Arabidopsis thaliana: one gene and its partner. The protein of the gene in region 1 interacts with the protein of each later gene in a pairwise test. Each region holds a gene or a part of one and is shown in the gene's direction. Other genes may lie near its edges. The genes, in order: AT1G72350 and AT5G55690.

Region 1 (3,318 bases):
GACAAATGGCTCATCGGACTCTAATTCATCGAAATTTCCATCGAAATCGTAGATTGAGCAGTCAAAGACGCCATTACTTCTCCAGGAAGACTTTCCAGATGATCTCGCAATCTTCTCCGGCGCTATGTAATCGGAAATTACAGCTCCTCCGCACATTTTCTCAGAACTAAAGGGTTCAAAGTATAAGTTTTAAAAGTTTTGGGCTAAAAAGTAAAATTTCTCAATTTTAAAGGTGTCTCTGTGTTTTTGTTCTTTCATTTTTGCCTGAGCACACTCTTATACGCAGAGCGACAAGGCGTGTTCTTCGGAACGACAATTGGGCCAAGTGGGCTTTGTTAATTTTACCATTTTATCCTCATCATAGGTTAATCCCTTTTTAAATGATTTCGCCACTGTCTGTAATGATCTGCATTTAGCTGAGTTTATGAACTTAATATATTCGATCTTATCGCTTTACTTGGGGGTTAATCCATTCTTATCTTTAATCATATCTTACATTAAGTGAATCGTATATTTGAGTTTTAATGACCATGATTCTTATATCTACCCAGTTTACTGCGTCATACTAGTCGTTTTGGATTTTTGGCATAAGATAAATAAAAATAAAAACCTATACCTATAGTAATGGTTGGCTTATTCACCTTTCAAGAGTCAATAAATCGACATGGGTTTTAACTTTTAACCAATGTGTTTAGTCGTCACGGTGATTAGTTAAAACCTTTATGGAACAACTTTAATGAAAAAACTATACCAACAGCTGGTTTTGCTACAACTTGATATATACACTAGATTTTAACCCGCGGTATATCGCGGGAATAATTTATTTTTTAAAGTTAGTATATATAAAAGTTTATAAATTGTATTTATCTATAAAATAATTTTATTTTATAGTTTACAAATGTTATTAAGTAACGTCCTTCCAAACCCGTCCTGTAAAAATAAACCCATTTATTTTATTAATGTTGATCTTATTTATGATATGTTTATGAATCATTGTCTAAATATTTTGTAATTTTGTAGTAATTAAATGCTATCAGATTATATCTCTGCGCTTTGATGATTATAATCGAATTGTTATAGTCATGGAGAAAAGCAATATCAAAAATGATAATTTTGTAGTAATTAAATGATATTAAATATTTTAGAAGTATTATTTTAGTAAATAATCGTGTAGTTAATGTGGAGAGATTTTGGGAAGATTGTTAAATGTCAAATATTTAATTCGAAGATTTTCTTTTTAATTATCAAAAACAAACATTAAAATCCAGTGACAACCATTGTAAATAAATCTCAACTACAGGATTTATTTAACAAAATGGCTGCAAAAATGTATATATAGATTTAACAAAAATTAATTAATTTGTAATAGTAGTTGTTATCCTACCTTTAGGGGTATAGCTTTTAATTTGAAACCATAAGCAGTCTCTAATACTGACTAATGAACCCGTGGTTTTCTCCACTAACCATTTTTCAAATCTAAACTAATCTATCAACCTTACTTTGAACCTTTGTGGAGTGGTTAATTAATTAAAGACTAATTGATATATTAAATGGAAAAGAATAAAATAATTTTAAAGGAATTAAATATTCGCAATGGCCACGAGGAACCTTTCATGTGGCAACTATACTTTGTAATTTCAACTATACTAAGGCCAGTGTTTTCTTTGACAATAACATTAACATCCATATGCTCATATGCATATATATATATTTGATTTGATCATATATTATTCGTATATGAGACCCACATATATTAGCATCATCATTAGTTTTTTTTTATATTTTATATATAACAAAAATGTAAAATAGAGAGGAGTAAGCATCTTGTTTGTCCAAAAAGAAAAGAAAGGAGTAAGTATATCTCGTAAATCTTTGAAATAATGTCACGAAACTTAGATTAAAAAAAGTTAATGTTGATTGTTTATGGAATCATTCCAAATATCATGTTAACTTATTGAGACGCGCATTTAATACCACAATTAGCATATATTATGATGAGACAATAATTCCTTATATGGTTCAAAACTATGAATATAAATATAATTCGGAATATTTCTCCCAAAGAACCCTTGTAATCTCTCACAAAAATCTCTTGTTCTTCTTGTCTTCAATATGGAGGATGGGGAAGCTTCAACAATCACTTTCTTACCAACCACGGAACCAAAACCCCTACAAAACCCTAACTTGCTGGCCAAACCAAAAAAAGAGACTAAACAAAAAAAACCTAAAACCACCAAAGGTCGACAGAAGATAGAGATCAAGGAGATCATGCTGGAGACCCGAAGGCAAGTGACGTTTTCCAAACGACGATCCGGGCTTTTCAAAAAAGCGGCAGAATTAAGCGTTCTCTGCGGCGCACAGATTGGTATCATAACGTTTTCACGTTGCGATAGGATCTACTCGTTTGGTAACGTGAACTCACTCATCGATAAATACTTGCGTAAGGCTCCGGTGATGCTGAGGTCACATCCCGGTGGTAACGTGGCAAACGGAGAGGAAGATAACGACGGTTTGATGTGGTGGGAGAGAGCGGTGGAGAGTGTGCCGGAGGAGCATATGGAAGAGTACAAGAATGCCTTGAGTGTGTTAAGGGAGAATTTGTTGACGAGGATCTACCAGATGAGTGGTGATCGGACGGTTGAGAATCTTCCGGCATTTCCAAATGAGATGGCTATGGCTGACTGGAAATTAACGAATGAAAATCTGATGGCTAGGAACGATCGAGGTTATGGAGGTAACAATGGTGATTTGGAGTTTGCGTTTATGCCTCAAAACGGTAGACAGTGAGGTGTTTTTTCTTTAATTTATTATTACAGTTTGGTGTTATTACATATAGATTATAGGTTGATCTAAACTATTTTTTTAATTCGTTTACCTAAATTAACTAATGCTTTCAAGTTTAAGATTGAAAAAAAAAAATTGTATTCCGAAATTGAAATTCATATTTCCCTTTTCTTAACTGTGGAGTTAGCTTATTAATAATACTGGTTTTATTTTATGAGCTTGTGTTTTTGTCTTTCTTGTTTATTTTCTTGAAACTGTTAGGATATTTTCTCCAACAGTTTCTTTTTATATAAAAATGATGTAATATTTTCCCCAACCATTGGCTACACTTGAGGAGGTTAGCTTGTCTACGAATTGTCAATGGTCGTAATAATGAGGGCTTGAGGATCGGAATCTGGTCATGGTGATGTTGATCCTTTAGAGGTTCTTATTAGAACTATATTCCACACACAATTCGAAATCAAATCATGTCACAAAAATTGGAACCACGAGGACTGAGGATTAGGTATGTTGTACATGTTTATAGTCTCTAGG
Region 2 (4,084 bases), on another chromosome or scaffold:
GATGTAATCGATTTCCATTTTTCATGAATTTAACAGCGAGAGCGAAACTAATTACCTAAAGATTCGGCTGTTCCCGGCGACGGAACGCAACTTAGTGATGAAACGACCGCGTTTGAAAGGAGGAATCATAGAAACGCTTCGGAAAAAGTTACGATTACGCTTTGTACTCTGCTCGAGGAAACAAGATTTCAAAGAAAATCCTCCGGGATGGAAGAAATTGCCGCCGGTGACTCCGCGACAGCCACATCCGATTACTCCAGTCTCCGTCATTTTCGTTTCTTCTCCTTCGTCGGAGATATTTCTCAGATGGTTTTAGATGCGGAGGAAAAGAGACGGAGATGGAGTACTTGAAACGCAAAATTCTATTTCTCTTTTTCTTTTCTTTTTAACGACCCAAAATTTATTTGGGGCTTTTCTGATATATATACTGAATTTTTAAATCAAGAAAATTATCAACTTTATAATTCCTTCTTGACCCTATACTTTTTCCTTTATTGCCTTTATTTTCTATTTTTTGCCCGTATGTTTTAAATATTTCTATAATTGACCCCAACTTTCGTTCTCTACTATATACCTCGTGCCTACAATATTTAATTATTTATAGGAGTATAGGTGTTTTTATGAAACAAATCAGTGAAATTATCAAAACTAATTAACGTTTTACTTGTTGAAGTTCAGGAGATGATTGAGATTACATTTATTTTATTATAAAAATCAGAGTTGATTTTTTCAAACTGGTGTTTAATGTGTAACATGGAAACAAGTTTAAATTTCTATTATGACTGACTTATAATTGAATAATAAAACTATGAGGACTTGAATAGCATATAGTCAAACTAATTGTACTTTTAGATGGTAATTTTTTTATATGATATTAAATATCCATTGAATAAGGTTTTTTAACAAAGAAAATGGAATTAACCATTTTGCTGACGTGGAAACATATCGTCCCTTAGTGGATAAGCATGTAAAATATCCCATTAGAACATATCCCATGCTACTCGCCACCATCAACACTGCCTATTACCAATTATAGTAGTGAATTTGGCATATAAATAGTATACGAAAAATGTCTCACATATTTAAGTTAACCTATTATTTCCGTCTTCATTGTCATATAGTTTGATCAAATTAAATCATGGGTCCACGATATGTCACGTTTCAGTCTCGTAGTACTACTCATCAAGTGGCAAAACTTTGTTTATCACATATAGCTGATATTTATTCGAATGTGAAAGATAATAAAGGATAAAAAAACAAAATTTCAAAATACGCACTAAGTAATAATTGCATGGGACATTTTACAAGTTCTAGTCATTTTTTAGTTACATACCAGTGCGTATGAGCATATGGTGATTGGTGAAATTGTTAAATGTATATTTCAAAGGCTATGAATTACCGATCAATCGATCAACACCAACAGCTACTAGTAGTTTAAAATTTTATGAAACAAATTTATTATTTGTCGATGTCTCCTAGTATTATATTAAAATGAACTATCGAGTATCAGTACAAATAGTCATCACAGAAGTGTGACAAACTTACGACAACAAACTTTAATCTTTTTTCTAATTTCTATACAACCAAACTACCAAAGTGGCCATGAAGACCAATAAGAACATTGTTGCAACTTGCAAACGGAACCTCAGCCACCTCCGGCGCCAAATTTCCGTAAGAATATTAACAAAGTTTTCAATTAAAGCAAAAAAGGAATATTTGAGAAAATTAATTGGCACAAATCACAAACAAAATCTTCTTTCTTGATCATGCTGTAATTACAATGTTTTCCTTTAACTGAACTCTTATCACTTGTGCGTGAACATAGAAACTAAAGATTTGTATAGCTTCGTCCTCTTTAATTCTACTCGAAAACATGGAAAGAAATAAAATATCAGCATTGCTACCGTAATTTAGGGGAGGAAACAATATTCGAGAATAAACCATATATTCTTTACGACAAAAAAAAAAAAAAAAAACATATATTCTTTTTTTGCGTGTGTCTTATATAAACACAGAAAGAGGAACTCCATTGTTAAATCAAGAAACTTCAGAAAGTAGAGCTCTTAAAGAAGGTATTATATACATTCTTTTTTTCTTCTAGTAATCACTCTGCATTTACTTTATGTTAATATCCCATCTGTTTTACTATTCGTGTTAATCGTATATGGATTTGGAATTATGCATAGGAAGCTTGACAAAACGATAAGGATTATGCTTATTAGTGAAAAAATTGAGAATAAAATAATATGAATCTTTCTTCCCTATACATTTGTAAGGCTTACATTGCTATGAAATGTTAAAATGTAAACCTAAAAGCTATATGAGTTACAAATTTTTTATTGACAACAAAATGTTTACTAGTATTAGTGCTTTGGTTGTAAATTTGTAGTGTTTCTGTATGTTTTGGTAGCTGATCGTTACATCCAAATGATGATATTACTATTTCAATTTTCAAGATTATGATCTATTGTTGTGTTTTACTCTTTTATGGCTTTTTAGATTGAAGCAAAGGTATCTGGATGGGTCGAAAGATGGTAAAGATGACGAGGATAACGAACGAGAAAACGAGGATAACGACTTACAAGAAGAGGAAAGCATGTTTGTATAAGAAAGCCAGTGAGTTCTCAACACTCTGCGGTGTGGACACTTGTGTCATTGTGTACGGCCCGAGCAGAGCAGGGGACGAAATGGTCATGGAGCCCGAGTTATGGCCAAAGGATGGGAGCAAAGTCCGTGAAATCTTAACCAAGTACAGAGACACTGCGTCAAGCAGCTGCACCAAGACATACACCGTGCAAGAATGCTTGGAGAAAAACAACACTAAGGTGGAGAAACCGACGATTGCGACAAAGTATCCTACATGGGACAAAAAGCTCGACCAGTGTTCTTTAAATGACCTCTATGCGGTTTTCATGGCAGTAGAAAACAAGATCCAAGAGGCTACGAATAGGAATCAGACATTTCCTGACACTAGTTGTTGGTCTAATGACCAACTTGGTTTATGCGGTTACAATCGGCAATGTTTTGAGCAGTATCAGTTGTTTCCTCTGCCTACTATGGATTACAACGGGCTCTCTTTCTTCCCTTTTAATAACCAGATGACCTCAAATACTGCGGAAGTGTCTTCCTTCTCGAATGTGACAGAGCCGATGATAGCGAACGGGCAAAGCTTGTTTTACGGGAGTTGTTCGGATGGTCCATATGGTCCGATGGTACAGAGGACAGCTTATATGGAGCCAATACATTGGGGTTTAGGAAACAGTATGTTCAACAATGTGAAGCAGTTCCAAGATTATCCCTTCAGGTTTGCACAAGTTAATGATTTGGAGGATTCAAGTAAACTTTCTATGTGAGAAATGTCATTTGTTTCTTCCGTTTGAATGTTGCTTTATAAACTTCTTTTTATCAAGTTTCTATTAAGTTTGTTGATTTTTTTCATAGCTATATCATGGAATAAGAAAATGGTGTTTTTACGAAAACATATTGTACTAACAAATATAATCTACCAACATTAATATACTATAAAGTAATCAATACAAAACAAGTAAGTATCTTGTTCATTAGAATTACAAGATATACTGAAGAGTCTTCTTATAGTCTGACAAAAAGCTAGTTAGCTGGAAGAACCAAAGTGGCTACTAAGATCAAAAATATGCATAGGAGATCATGTTGAACGAATTTAGAAGCCGACTTGGCTCCGGCGGGAACCTCAGCAGTCTCTGGAGCCAGATTCGCCGTCGCTGGTGCAGAACTACTCACCGGACCTCGTCCGTAAGGAAATATGTCCGGCGTATTCGCTGGAGTTGATGGAATATCAGGGGTTGTTACTGGCGATGTTGCTGCGATATATGGAGCATCGGCGGAGACTGGTGGTTGGTTTGATGGGGTGGTGGCAGGCGATTCTATTGAGGTGGTGGGACTTATCATTGGAGCAGAGATTGGAGACTTCCCTGGAATTGTAGTGGGAGGGGATACAGGGGAAGTTGCAGGCGTAGAGACAGGAGTCGTGGATGTAGTCGGAGAGGAAACAGGGGAAGTCACCGGAGATGAAACAGGGGATTTCAGAGGAGACGCAATGGTACGA

What was found.
Region 2: the proteins of AT1G72350 (region 1) and AT5G55690 interact in a two-hybrid assay, tested with the Arabidopsis thaliana proteins (one large-scale study listed by BioGRID).

The regions. Positions count from the first base shown.
Region 1 is NC_003070.9:27,238,742-27,242,059, reverse strand, and holds AT1G72350 (MADS-box transcription factor family protein), read left to right. Parts: upstream 1-2,112; coding exon 2,113-2,787; downstream 2,788-3,318. Other genes in the region: ERF73 (Integrase-type DNA-binding superfamily protein), read right to left, coding at 1-156.
Region 2 is NC_003076.8:22,548,059-22,552,142, reverse strand, and holds AT5G55690 (MADS-box transcription factor family protein), read left to right. Parts: upstream 1-2,048; 5' UTR 2,049-2,072; intron 2,073-2,497; exon of another isoform or gene 2,498-2,499; 5' UTR 2,500-2,519; coding exon 2,520-3,353; 3' UTR 3,354-3,436; downstream 3,437-4,084. Other genes in the region: BAM4 (beta-amylase 4), read right to left, coding at 56-270; AT5G55680 (glycine-rich protein), read left to right, coding at 3,782-4,084.